Linked DNA regions of Canis lupus familiaris. The main gene of each other region encodes a partner of the protein of the gene in region 2 in a complex. Links are inferred from orthologs where the notes say so. Each region holds a gene or a part of one and is shown on either strand. Other genes may lie near its edges.

The links.
Region 1: RALGAPA1 (region 2) and RALGAPB share a complex: the UniProt entries of both Homo sapiens proteins name them as parts of the heterodimeric RalGAP1 complex. The link is inferred for Canis lupus familiaris from reciprocal best matches to the Homo sapiens genes RALGAPA1 and RALGAPB.

What each region holds. Positions count from the first base shown.
Region 1 is NC_049245.1:27,539,941-27,547,474, forward strand, and holds part of RALGAPB (ral GTPase-activating protein subunit beta), read left to right. Parts: intron 1-1,622; coding exon 1,623-1,754; intron 1,755-2,769; coding exon 2,770-2,948; intron 2,949-3,999; coding exon 4,000-4,148; intron 4,149-4,277; coding exon 4,278-4,494; intron 4,495-6,718; coding exon 6,719-6,754; intron 6,755-7,534. UniProt on the Homo sapiens protein: Non-catalytic subunit of the heterodimeric RalGAP1 and RalGAP2 complexes which act as GTPase activators for the Ras-like small GTPases RALA and RALB.
Region 2 is NC_049229.1:14,516,233-14,523,766, reverse strand, and holds part of RALGAPA1 (ral GTPase-activating protein subunit alpha-1), read left to right. Parts: intron 1-3,939; coding exon 3,940-5,487; intron 5,488-6,180; coding exon 6,181-6,261; intron 6,262-7,256; coding exon 7,257-7,381; intron 7,382-7,534. UniProt on the Homo sapiens protein: Catalytic subunit of the heterodimeric RalGAP1 complex which acts as a GTPase activator for the Ras-like small GTPases RALA and RALB.

The DNA.
Region 1 (7,534 bases), on a different chromosome or scaffold from region 2:
CGATCCCCGGACCCCAGGATCACGCCCTGAGCCAAAGGCAGACGTTAACCGCTGAGCCATCCAGGCGTCCCTCTCAATTTTATTCCTTTACAGTAAAGTTTTTGTTATTGAAGAAACTGAGATGTTTGTCTTAGAATGTTTCTACTCTGAATTTTTCTCATTATGTCCTAATTGTGTTAATATATTTCTCTGTCCTCTGTATTTCCTGTCAGCTGGCAGTTATATCTAGAGACTTGATGTGATGTAGGGGGAAGGCAGTGTGGAGGCGGGGACAAATAATTTATAGTTTGCATTATGTATCAGAAAGTAGACTGGTCTTTTTCTGAGTTAGTAAAATGTTTACGTTTATAACTTTAACATTATTTAAAGTAAAAGATGGAGGTTTTGGAATATTCTGTTGATTCTGGTATATCTTAGTGAATGTCAAAATTAGAAAATAATACTTCTTTTTATCTTGCTTATAAAAGCAATACATAGAAAATTTGGATGACATAGGGAAAAATATCCATTACTTATAACCAATGTTAATGTTTTAATGTATTTTTTCCATTTCTCTTTATTACAAAAATTGAGATTATTTTATAGAGTATTATTTTTAATTTTGATGCGTCCCATTAATTACATTTGCCTTTTCCATTCTTAAATAAATCTCAAGATCATATTTTTAATGGCTTTGTAGTTTTTCATTATATAAGTGGCATTATAATTTATTTAATAATTTCTTTGTTTAGATATTCATGTTGTTCCCAGTATTTTACTTTAAAGATATTGTTGATATGAATACTTTATGCATAGTTTGTGTGTGTATTCTGGTTGTTTCATTAAAATATAATTTCTAGATAAAAGATAATTGAGTCAAAGGAACTTTGAACAGTTTAAATACATTTGGAGTAGTACTACTAAATTAAGTAATTAAATTGTTGAATTACTTTTAAGGTACACCATAAATTCTGAACTTCATGCAAGTTATATAGCAGTTATTATGGATAAATTGCAGCTAAGTTGTATTGAAGGAGTTTGCAGTGGGATGACTCTTAAAAATAATTTAAATATCAATTTATATTATAATTAAGCAAATAATGGTAGAAACGTAAAGCTGCATATATGATTATACAATTTACTATATATGTTATTTGCAATTATTTATAAATAAAATTTAAAAGTAATTTATAATTTTATAATTTGATTTGTAATTTTGTTATGAAATCATAAAATTATAGTTTATATATTACATATTAATGTTATAAAGCTATTATATATAAAAATAAGGTTATAATATGACATATATTTAATGTGTAATATATGTAATTTTATAATTTATGATACATTCATAATATAAATTGTATAACTTAAATTACAAAGATATATGTTACAAATAATAATTTTTAAAATAAACACATTATTCAAATGTTTAAAGGTTTTTTAAATCTTACAAAACTAGAAATCCCGTTTTTGTCTCTTATCAATGAGGGTTTTCATTTATCTTCTTTGAGGTATCATACACATGTCATCTATTTTCTTTTGTATTTCTCATCATATTTTAATGCTTAATACATATTTTAATATATTTTTCATTCTGTTAAGAAATGAACTTGGTGGTTTGCATATTTTTTGTATTCTAGATTGCTACGCTTTACATATGGTCCTTCATTTCCTCCATTTAAAGTTCCTGATGAAGATGCCAGTCTGATCCCTCCTGAAATGGATAATGAGTGTGTAGCACAGACATGGTTTCGCTTCTTACATATGTTAAGGTACTATTATTTAGTATTGTGTATGCTCTTTACTCCTATCTTAGGGCAGGAACCGTACTGTAACTTCTGTGTTGGTGCTCAGTGTGTGGCTGCTAAGTACAGCCCTCAGATGGAGCCACATTGGACAGTAGTCACATCTATATCATGTGCCTCTTGCTCTCTTGCTCCCAGCAGACTCAGGCTACCCTCAGCTGCGTTTAGTCTACACTCTAGAAGCTTGTCCCCTGTGTTATATGTAGCATTTGTTCTCTTGCCTACTGTTACATCCTGGATGATATCTCTCTCAGGACTCTGTTGCATTCTGTGGGACAGGAGAGTGCCTTGCTTCTCTATGTGACCAACACTACCTGGTCCATCTGGCCAGGAGGGCCTCTCCTCTAGTGGCCTTGTTTAAAATGTCGCTGAGGGTGATACAATAAAATTACACAGAGGGATAACTTGCTGCTTCCTGGTCTCTCTTTATAGTAATTCTATTCAGTTCAATTTTATTGCTGCTTGTTTTCTCTGTACTAGCTACATCCTTGTGTCCTATGGAACTTTTGTTCTGTTGCATACTGCCTTAATTCTTAAACCATTTCCTCTCCATATCCTCTCATTCTGGTTTGACTAGTCTCATTTTTCTGTTTGTGTATTAGTGATTCTAAATTACCCTTTTTATAAGTTAGGGATGTTAACTATTTTTTTTTTCCAGGTTGTAGTTTTTGTTTTTCATCTTTTAGTGATTTCAGTTTTTTTAAATGTCTTTTTCAATGATCATTTTCTGTTTCCTTTAAAATTAGAAAAGTCTTGGGGATCCCGGGGTGGCTCAGCAGTTTAGCGCCAGCCTTCGACCCAGGACATGATCCTGGACTCCCGGATCGAGTCCCACGTCGGGCTCCCTGCATGGAGCCTGCTTCTCCCTCTGCCTGTGTTTCTGCCTCTCTCTCTTTCTGTTTCTCATGAATAAATAAATAAAATCTAAAAAAAAAAAAAATAGGCTTTCTGTGTAATTAATTCTTTTTTCCTTTTTTGATAGTAATCCCGTGGATTTGAGTAACCCGGCCATTATAAGCTCTACTCCCAAATTTCAGGAACAGTTCTTAAATGTGAGCGGAATGCCACAAGAATTGAATCAGTATCCCTGCCTTAAACATCTGCCTCAAATATTTTTTCGTGCCATGCGTGGAATCAGCTGTCTAGTGGATGCATTCTTAGGTGAATTTTGTGTATGTTTCTAAATGTTTGGAGACCTACATGTAGATAACTCTAGAGTATGGATTTAGAAACATTATGGAAAGCCCAAAGAAAAAGATGAACAGCTTTGGTTGCAAATGACAAAGTAGGAAAAATTATTTGCAACAAATGTAATAGCTAGAACACTTCCATTGTCTTTATATAAATAGATCAAACAATGCTAAGAAAAAGAATAAGACTTGGTAGATAAATGGACAAAGGATATGAATAAGTGATTTGCAGAAGGGAAAAGTTCATTCTCCGTAGTAATCCAAGAAAATACAGATTAATATACATTAGGTATGTGTCCCTGGGAATAAAATTACACCTTTTGTGAACCATTATTTTAAACCATTTTTCACATTTTAGGAATATGAAAAGTCAATATTTTTAACCTGAAAGGCAATGATATTTTATATCTATTTTTTTAAAACATTTATGTGCACTTGTTAATACATTACATAGGTAGTATATTAGTTCAAATTAAGTTTGGCTGCCACATAACAATAAAAAATACCAATGGTTTAAGCAAGATAATTATTTTCACATATGATAAGGGCAGAGCTAGGCAGTATAGGGCTGCTATCGCTGTTCCATCATTGTGAGGGACCCAGGGCTCTTCCATCTCTTGGCTCTCCATCCTTTGTGTACTCTCTCATGGGCCATGATGGTTAAATGAGTTCCAATCCTCCTTTTCAGGAATTAGGAAAGGAGGAGAGTTTATACTTGATTGGTCCTTTTAAGAAGAGTTCCTGGAAGACCCACCCCACAGTCATCTACTTCTTTATGGTCAGAACATGGCCACATCTATCTGTAAGGGAAGCTTGAAAATGTAGTTATTTATTTTGGGTAGCCATGTCCAGCTAAAATTTGTATTCAGTAACTTAGGAAGGAAGAGTGAATGGATACTGGGAGGCAGCTAGCAGTGTCTGCTGTAGTCTGTCCTGAGCCGTCACTGGTGTTGCTTGAGGAAGATTTTCTGACCATGTGTTTGAAACTATGAAGAATAACTCCATTTGTCTTTTTCTTAAAGGCATTTCTAGACCCCGATCAGACAGTGCTCCTCCAACACCCGTGAATAGATTAAGTATGCCTCAAAGCACTGCTGTCAGTACCACCCCACCACATAACCGGAGGCACCGGGCTGTTACTGTGAATAAGGCCACCATGAAGACAAGCACAGTAAGAGTTTTCATCTCCATTATTATGCTGTATAAAGTTGCCTTTTTAATCTGCCAACCTTTTAAAAAAGTCTTTCTTTTTTCTCAAACTTTTCTTGAGTGTGGATTTATTCTTGTACTCCTCCAACAGGTTAGTACTGCTCATGCCTCGAAAGTTCAGCACCAGACATCCTCCACCTCTCCTCTGTCAAGTCCCAATCAGACTAGTTCTGAACCCCGGCCACTGCCTGCCCCTCGAAGACCAAAGGTTAACAGCATCTTGAATCTCTTTGGATCATGGTTATTTGATGCAGCATTTGTTCACTGTAAACTTCATAATGGGATAAACAGAGACAGCAGCATGACTGGTAAATATTGCTCAAGAAATATGTTATCACTTTTTTCTTTTCTTTTTTTTCTTTTTAATTTTTCCTACCTGCAAGATTAATATGTATCTTAAAAAGCTTTCTGTCTCTGACCAAGCAGTGTCTTGTGTTTAACCCCTTCCAGCTACAGTAACAAATTTTTGAAAGTTTTCCTACCTGTCCTTTATATGTCTGTCTATGAGGTTTGGCTCTTGTCTGTTTTTATTAGGCACACTTTAGGTCAGCCACTTTTTGTTGAATCAAATTGCTTTACTTAGGTGGCCTGGAAGTTCCCTTCATGTCAGCCAGGATGATAATATTGATAGAAAGAATTAAATAAAGATTTTGACCAGAAATTTATTCACAAGAAGTGTTTTCTTAGATTCTGACAGCCATTCACTTATTAGTACATAAAAAAATTAGAAAATTTCTGCCTCATGAAAAACTCTTATTCTCAGGTTTTAGTCTAGAGAACTTTATTTCAGGGCACACTTTAAAAAATACCATTTGCTCTGGAACTATTTAAGAGTGGGTGAAGAATTAATAACTCAATCCTGATATCTTCATTTTGATTTTATTACAGAAACGACCCTTTCTAAATCTGATTTATTTTTGTCATCTCACTGTTGTACTTGGAAGTAGTAGCATAGTGTGCAGGATGGGAGTGTAGGGTAGTGCAGAATATACTGGATATTTATGACATGTCTTATAGAGAATAATAATCATGGCTAGCATTTATTGAGCTGCGATAACTATGCCCAGGCACTGTGTTATATGCACTAATGAGTGTATTGGTTGTTTGATAAGAAAGCACTTTTCTGATTGGGGTTAGAAGTAGGTTGAGAGAAAAGGATGCCTAATTGCATTAGTTCATGCATCTCTAGGGAGAATATTAGTTCCAAGAATTAAAACTAACATGGTGACCATAAAGGTCTCTGTTTTCTCTCAGAAATGCATTCTTAGCTATTATGAATCATCTCAGAATTAAGGTCTATATGAGCATTATACATGTATAATCATTTTGGATGTTCTTAAATTTTTAAAATAATTTAAAAAGTCGTGAATATGAAGATATTTTGGGGACTATAATTCAAGATTGCATGTTTGAGTTTACAGATTCCTTTGTTTTCTTCAAATTCAGACACTTTATATTCTTCCATTTCCATATTTTATTTAAAAGTTTGAAATTTGTGCTTCTGTATGGATAAGTATGTACTTATGGCTAATGAAAACTTCTAGAAAACCATTTTTTGGCTTATATTTTCTTATGTTCATGTACCTTATATGTTGAGTTTTCTAAACCATGTTTATATTTGTTAATTTGTATTGTATTTTCTAGAATGAATCAGTCATGTTTTTTATTTTTATTAAGGTGCAATTTTTGTAGTATAACTTTTGGGCATCAAGCTGTTGACACTAAAATCCCTGAATCCAGAATGTCTCAATCTCCTGCCTCCTTGGTGGGCTTGCTTAAGGGGAATATACAAATCTTCTCATTCTCTAGGGAGTTTGTAACAGCTTTACTCACCCTCTTGTGCCAAAAGATAGAAACCAGAACTTAGATATGTGGTAAACCAATTCTTACTTTAACCCTGAACATTTTCCTTGGTGCGGAAAAGATAGAAGGTCCTCTTGCCCCTGTTGTGTTTGGAGATGAGAAAGGCTGTTACATTACCCAGGAGATAGGAGTGTCCTGGTATTTCACTGGGTTTGGGTGCTCTTGAGAGCTGGTCTTGAAGCCGCAGGGTGGGGGGGGGAAGGGGGCGGAGGGACGGGGAATGAACACTGTTAGTCGGTTCTCTAAGTACTGGCTGCCATCAAGGAATTCTGCCCTGCAGTTCACCTCTAACTTAAGGTCTTTGCTTCGATCAACTGGTTAGCTCAAGACTGATGCGACATTACACTGTAGTTTGCAGAAGTGGTATTGAGCTGGGAAGGGTTAATGAACTAAATTTTAATGCACGTTATCAGCAGTTCAAAACCTCAATTCTTTGTAGCTGTGTAATTTTCTTCGTTCATTGTTTTGCATGATACAAAAATCATAATTTTGGATCTGAATGCACAATTTCCTGTTTTTGAACTAGCTTGTGGTATCATAAAGCTTTTAATCTAACTTTTAAAAAGCTAAAAAGCTTCTTAACTTATTGTAAAATTTCACCATCTTTAAAGTATTTTATAATTACTGCTGTCCTTTGATTTGTTTCCATTTATTTCTATTATCTTGCAGCATCTTTTATCCAAATTCTTCTTTCTTATAAATCTTGTAAGTAGGAACCAGAAGCTTCTCCTTAATTGCAGTCATGTTTTTATTTTTTTCATAATTCCATTAAAAAATTTGATTGTCATTGTCTCTTGTAGTTTTTGCACTTGGGAAGAAAAATACTTTTCTGTGTTTTGAATGGGGAAGATTGTTGGCAAAAGCAAATTAATCTGCCTGAATCAGTCCCATTATTTCTGTACACTAGTCTGGTCATGTCATGAATTCCAGGACTTTGCACTAACTGTGTTTTGGCTTTTTTTTTTTTTTTTTTTTTTAAAGCTTTAAGCTTATTTTTCTACAGATTTAGTGTTTGATTTGTATGCATTCTGCATGTAGTGTTTTTTCAAATGTATTATTGCTGGATAGCTTATTCAGGACTAAAAATGGCTCATGGGAAGTTGCATAAAGATTTATGCTTGACTCTGCATTCTATTAAAACTATTACAAAATAATTTAAACATTTCATGTAGAGCGATAAAAGATTTCAGAGTGATTTTCAATACACTATGAAATCTTTTGTTAAAAATAAAAGCAACTTTCAAAGGGCTTCTGTTTCAGTGACAACGAATGACCATGATAATCTTTCCTACCAATCCAATTTTCTGATTTATCAACCTCAAGTTAGCTGCTGTCTGTGGTTGTTAAAATTCATTCTCATTTTGCTTGGTTGGGCGATTCTTTGGTGTGTGTTTTGGAGTTGGGTGGGTGGTGGGAATGCTCTCTCTTCCTCCCTACCCATTTCTCATCCTTACTTTGCCCTTTCCCTAAAGTATACAAACTGGC
Region 2 (7,534 bases):
AAACCTCAGCTTTATTTATTTATTTTTTTTTTTAAAGTTTTTTTTATTTATTTATTCATGATAGTCACAGAGAGAGAGAGAGAGAGAGAGAGAGGCAGAGACACAGGCAGAGGGAGAAGCAGGCTCCATGCACCGGGAGCCCGACGTGGGATCCGATCCCGGGTCTCCAGGATCGCGCCCTGGGCCAAAGGCAGGCGCCAAACCGCTGTGCCACCCAGGGATCCCTCAGCTTTAAAATAGTATAAATTTCTATGTAAACTAATATAAATGATGTTTATGAATTCAGGAGCTTTAAAAATATTTCTGATAGCTAGTGTTTATGACTGAGAATAGAATTTAACTTTGGATAGAAGGGATTTGGCACTTAGTTCTGTACCTGTTTTCTAAAATTATTAAAATTTCCTAGTGGTATGTTAGTGTTATAACTTAAGAGATTTATTTTCCTGAGGAACCAGCTTGATAATTTATGAATTAGTAGCTACTAATTTTTAATATAAAGACATACTATCCTTCTACCAGTGTTAGTATACTAAGTTTCCACTATGTGACAAGAGTTGTTTCAAGAAATAAGGATATTGTGATGTTAATACAAACAAAAATCCTGAAGAAACATAACTGGTGGAAAGAAATTTATTTTACACGTTGCAAGGCTCTATAGAAAGCATTTTATCAGTGTTCAAAAGCGTTTAAAAATTCAACAAAACTTTTTTCTCGTTTTGCTCATTTAATGGTTATTAATACTTTAAATAGAAACTACTATTTTTCAAAGGAAAATATAAGCAGCATAATTATTTTGAACACTATTTTTGCTTAAGCCTAAAACTTAGTTTCAGCGCTCCAATACAAAGTTTGTCAGTTGTTTTCTTCTGTATAATTTACTAATGTTTGTATTTGAATATGTTTTGACTTCTAAGATTCTTTGTAGAGATAAATCATTGTGCTGCTTTATAATTTCTTAATACAGTTAGCTTTTGCCAATTTAAAAGAATTAATGAATTATTTCATGAGTATATGACCTATATTATTCAGGATATTTAGAACATGGACTAATTTTTGCTCTCAAATCCCAGCTTTTCACTTTCCAGCTGTGTAACATCAGACAGGTCACTTAAATAGTTTCTTCATCTATAAAATGGGGATAACAACACCTACTTCACAGTGATGTTGTGAAGATTAAATGAAATAATATATATCAGCTATTTGTAACAATGCCTAGCATGTAGAAAAGACTGTAGAATTAGCTGTGATTTTGTCTTTTTCTCCTTGTGCTTGCTTCGGCAGCACATATACTAATCTTTTTCTCCTTAATGGAATGCAGGTATACAGGCATTTCTTTAAATTTAAGACTTACTTGAGTAAGTTATGCTCAAATGCTGACATTGATTTCCTGTCAGCAATTACTTTCTTTGATGTTATGCAGTTAGTATTCTTATATGCCTATGTAGAATTATACTTAAGGCTTAAATATTGTTTTTGTTTGTTTAAATTCTCAAAGAGTACATTGTTGATAATTTTTTTCTTTTTTTTTTTTAAGCTCTTGCCCTCTTAAACTTGCATGAAAAATATTGGGTATCCATATGTTATAAAAAAAAAGTTCAGGAAAAACATAGGCTGAAATAATGGTTAAATTTTCTAGTTATACAAGGTGGGGACTGGGTCGGGCAGAAATTCTTAAAAAGAACTTAACAGTAATCTTTGCTGGCTTGTTTAGAATAGAAAAATTATGAAATATTAATAATATTGATGAAGTTCATATATTAGAATCATAATATTAGCTTTTAATAAGCTTTTAAGATTTTAATTTTCAGTTGGAGCAGATAAAGTCTCAACTATAAAATTTTTAAGAATTTTTCTGGAAAATTACATAGTTTTAAGTCCTATTAGGATATTTTGTGGAAAGAAACTTGGAGTGTATTTTAAATATAATCTCTGTTCTCTAGGCAAAGATTCTTATGATCTACTATGGGAGATAAAATAAAACCAAAATACTTATATTTGTTAAAACATAAATAAGCATTAGTTATCTGCTGTAATAATAAATAAATGCATAAATGTTTAGTTTCTGAGGAAATGTTTCACTTTTCATTTAAAAGAATTTCTAAGTGGAGTGTATGAAGAAGAAAGCCAACATCATTTTAAAAATATTCCCCTCAACTTAATGATAAATTAATTGTCTTAACTTCTGGAGGTATTGTGTATTTGACCTGTGCTTGGAATCCAAATGTATATATTCAGGAATATAGTGGAATTTTATCATACTACAAACTTCCCTTGTTCTGAATCTATGTGTAAAATGGTTCCTTGTGGACCTTGTACAAAGAAGTTGATAGGAATAAAATAGCGGAAGGACCAGCTTCCTTTTATTTATAGCGTGGACCCCAAGAATATTTTGAATTACTGTCCCCATTTTATAAATGAGAACATTGGTCTCAGAGTCTGGAGTAAGAAACCTAATAAGTTCTAGACCGAGCACAATCAATAAGTTAATTTGTGATCTTGGATAAGTCACTGTTTTACTCTGGGATCTGAATCTTCTCATTTTCAGATACAATTCTGTTACTTACAACCTTTGCATTATAAGCCTAATGAGTAACATCTGACTTTTTGACTCTTTCTTTTTTCATTATGTTTTGCTGGTTTACAAATTTTTCTTTAGTTATTTCTTGGTAATATAAAGGCCAAGATGGATTCATAGACCCTGTATTTTAATTCTAAAATTTCTAATTTGCATATATCTGTACAGTTTAATAGTATCTCAACTTGTGATTTTCAATTTCATAAATATTTTTGAGGATTTACCATATACTTAGCTGTGAAAACAATGCAGTGACATGGAACACTAAGCCTGCTTTTCATAGTTTATGGCTTTACCTCTTTGGGCCTCAATTTCCTCAGTAAGAAAATTAAATTAGATAATCTGTAATGTCTGTTTTGACTTTAAAATGTGTTGATTCTTAGAAATGTAAGAAGACATAGATAGTGGTTTCTTTTTAAAAGATTTTATTTATTTACTTATTTATTTAGAGTGTGCATGCACGTGTGAGCAGGGGGAAGGGTAGAGGGAGAAGGAGAGAATCCCAAGCAGATTCCCTGCTGAGCATGGACCTCAATGCAGGCTCAATCCCATGACCCTGAGACCATGACCTGAGCCAAAAACAAAAGTTGGGCATTTAACCTACTGAGCCACCAGAGTGCCCCAGGAGACATAGATACAGTTTTTAAGGTTTGATCTATGCTTAATGGTAAGGGCCAGTGAGAAAGTTTCTTCTAGTAGATTAAATGGTATTTGTGAGAAATAAATTTTTTTAACACTGTATTTTATTTGATAGGGATGAATAGATTTTAATACAATAGAAAATAAAGCAAAACACCTCAGTAGCACAGATAAGTAGTTTTCGGACAAAGAGAACTTTTGGAAGAGGGTGGAGATTTCCATTTGTAATATGTGATCAGACGGGCAAGATTTGAAGAAAAGATAATGCCCCTTGCCTGGTAAGGAAGAAATGAGAATTTATGAGATCCTATCATTCTACAGTAGTGGAATACTTAGATCAGCTTTCTATGGTTAAGATCTACTTTTTTCTTCTTGGAACTTAAGTAGGAAAAAATTGAATAGCAAGTTTAAATTGCTTTATTGGCACAGCTCTATCTTTAACTGCACTTCCAAATGTTTCATCACCTCACTGTTACTATGCATGTTAACATTTAAAAATATATTCTTATAGTTTTCTAATTCATTGACACTACATGCTATATTAGCTTGTGCCCATCATTATTTAAAAACATTTCTATTTTTTAATAAATTTTATTTCATTGAGCTTACAAAAATGTCTCAGAATTTTTTTATTTTAAGCCTATGCTTAGAGTATGGTTGAAATTAGTACTATATTTTTCGTGTTCATATAGTTCCTACTCTTCATAATTTTTCTTTTTTTACAGATATTGATGATGCTCAAATACTTCCCCGCCCAACTAGAGTCAGACATTTTTCACAAAGTGAAGACACTGGAAATGAAGTTTTTGGTGCTTTGAATGAGGAGCAGCCATTGCCTCGAAGTAGCAGTACTTCTGACATCTTGGAACCATTCACTGTTGAACGAGCCAAAGGTGCAGTTCCTGTCATTGACAGTTCATCCCGTCATGCGCCAAGCTTGCAGAGTTCCACAGAGGCTTCTTCAATAACTAGATCCACTGAAAGCCACATCACTGATACTCACAGTAGAGAGTCTTCTCTGGAAGTTGGTGATAGCATATATGACCATCTTTGTCACTTAATAGATCCAGTAGAACTTGCAGATTCAGCTTTTGAACAAATCCAGTACATTGACCTTGAAGGAGATGACGATCTTCTTACCTCCTTGAAAGAATATTTTAAGGAAAACCAGGAAAATCATAGTAAAAATGAGTTAGGTAAAGATGCAGCTTCTGAGGAAGTAATTATTGCAGTAAATAGGGATGAACGATCATCTTTAGATAAATTAGAATATGTAGACCAGGAAAGTAAATCAGAAAATATCACCTCTTTTGTTGGGACTCCTGAAAACACTCAGTTTCAAAAAGAACCAGACTCAGCTGCCTTCGTGAGTAGTGTTGCGCCTAACCAGTTAGACAGTTTTATGAGAACCAAAACTTACGAAAAACCCGAGGAACTAAAAAATGATAAACAATCATCAGAACCTAGCTCAGGTAGCCCTTGTGATAAAGAAAAAAGGAAACACCTGTATAGACAAAGAGCCACAGAATTAGATGCCTGTGTAGATGTAACAGTAGTCGAAAAGGTTAAGGGTGTGCAAATTAATGAAAAAATCACTGTCCCACATGTTATGCATACCAAGAAAACTACACTAAAAACACCTGTTAACCATAGACTGCCTCCTGTTACAAACACTAGCAAACTTTCTCCAACTAAAAGGAGCTTGTCTGAAACAGTAACTCATAGAGCCAAAATCATGAAAATTACTACTAAAAAACGAAATACTGTTCATGTTACTTTTAGACCATCTACTGAATCAGTTCAGTTTTATAATCCTCTGGAAAACAAAGAGGCTCCATGGAAGATGAGACTGCGGAAGCTTGGTGGCTTCAGTAGTAGTAGTGGCAGTAGCACCAGCAGCGCCAGCAACCTCCATACCAGCTCAAATAGTTTTACAGAGTTAGTAAAACCTGGTGTGTACAGGCCTCTAGATACACTTGGTACAGCATCAGTAAGTAAAACAACTAAGGAATCTACAGAGATTCCCACCACTGTATTACAAAAAGAAGGAGTTGCAAGTAATCAGTTAGGTAGTCGTAGTACTCTTAGGTCATCAAGTCATGAGGCAGGACTACAGCAGGGCTCCCTGGGTGGCGTTTATAAAACTGTTGTACATGCTCTTTCGAAGCCGAAGGCAAATGTTTCCCCACAGAGGCAGAACAGAATGCCACCAGAGGCTCCACTGAGGGATCTGTACAGTCATGTAATGGGCTATTTTGGAAGGAAAGCTGCAGGTGAGCACTAACAGTGTGCAGAGCGCAAAAGGAGAAAGACAGCACCAGTTTGGCTTAATGCAACTGAAGCGAGCTATAAGCAATCAAAAAGCTTTGGGATGGTCACTGCTTTCTCTCTGTTTGGTTATGCATGCGCCTTTTCCCAGCTGTATTTTTCCCAGCATAAAATGTTTATTTAAATTACTAATTTCCCTTATAAGGCATTTAGTTAAACCTCTTTGCTGCTGAACAAGATAGGAAAGAGGAAGATACAGGAAAATTTTAATGACCTTTCAGAGGCTATCTAAATCAAATATTTTTCTGAGTATGTACTACATGAGCCGTGAAATTAAGTTTACTAAGTCGTTGGAATACTTTCCCCTGCCCCCTTATAGTTTATATTTAAAAGGGCACTGGCTATATCTAATTGAGTTCATTATTTTTATTGATGAGTTACATGCTTTTAGATATTTTCTTGGAATAAAATTACTTTGGCATTATGTAACATAATGGAAATCAAGGTCTGACAACCAGCATCAACATTTTTAGTTATCCTTGAAGGAGAAATTCTTTCTTAAATCTCAAAGTGGATTTAGTTACTTTTCAAAGAAGCCATTTCAAAATAAGCTGTAGGCTTTTTAGTTTTGCATTCATTTGTATAGAATGCAAGTCCTTAAAACACTTACCATACTTTTCTTTTTTCTGAGATTTTAGATGTACATAAAGGTTTCATGATAGCCAATCATGATTTAAATATGGAACCTCTATGGACAGATTACAGAAAGCAAGATTATGGTAACTCTCTTCTCTTATCTTGATTCAAATTTAAAATAACTTTACAGATATAGAAAATTAACTTTCAGCAGTAAGGTAGGTTTTGATTTTGTTTGTTTAACATGGTTTTGTTAGCATGATTAACAGAATGCTGTATAATGCATCTTGCATTGAGCCATTAATGCCACTTGAGGGCAGTATTTGACAGCTTAGCAAAGCCTGGCCAGTAATATAAAGATAATGGTATTTCACAGTGAACTCTTGACCAGTGTATTTTCTTGACCTGAAATGCTTTTTACTTCGTTAGGAGTATAAGCAATACTGGTTTTCTTTTAGTTGCAGAGAAATTAATTTTTCAACAGCATAATAGTGAAATAAATATTTATTTCTGTAAGTTTTTTCCCAAGGTTGAAACTTTGTTAATGTAGTCATAACAAAATCAAAATAACTTTTGTGGGTTTTCTTTTTACAGAAAAACCTTTGTGAAAATAAACCTCTTTTTTCTTAAAGCAGTAATGTTAGACTTTGTAGTGAATATAAATGATATTATGTCACAATTATGGATTTTTTTATTTATCTAAACTGAAATGCATTTATATCCCACTGAGATGTACATAGATTCAAGGGATAGATTCCTTGCAGATATTTTTTGAGAAGAATGGAATTCTAAGTTATTAAGGCTCGAAATAGAAGCATAGAGGCAGGAAGAAAGATAAATATACCAGTTTCTTTATAGGCAATATTAACCTAACTCCAACTAGTGCTTATCTATAAGCTTTCTTGCTGTTTAAGGTTATACTGAAGATTGACTAACATCTGCTTAGTTAAATAAAGTAAATATCAATTTACTAATTCTTAAAATTAAATCTACAGGGAGAGAAATTATTCGTAAATGCATGTTTGGCAAATAATTGATATGGCATAGGTGATTTGTTTTGGATTGCTTTTGTTTGTTTCAGATTAGGAAACGCAGTTAAGTCTTTTCTCACTATATATAGTTATTTATTTATTTTTAGTCAATAAAGAGGACATGAGCCCAAAACTGCCTCCTCTTAATAGTGATATTGGCAGCAGCAATGTTAATGTTCCTGATCTGATGGATGAGTTTATAGCAGAACGACTTCGAAGTGGTAATGCCTCAGTAAGTGTTGTTTTATTTCATTTATTTGGTTTAGCAAGGAGAGTAGAGAAACTAAAGGATACTTACTTTTGTGTGTATGTGTGTTTGTAAATTTTTATTCAAAATAATCTTCCGGGCAGCCCTGGTGGCTCAGTGGTTTAGTGCCGCCTTCAG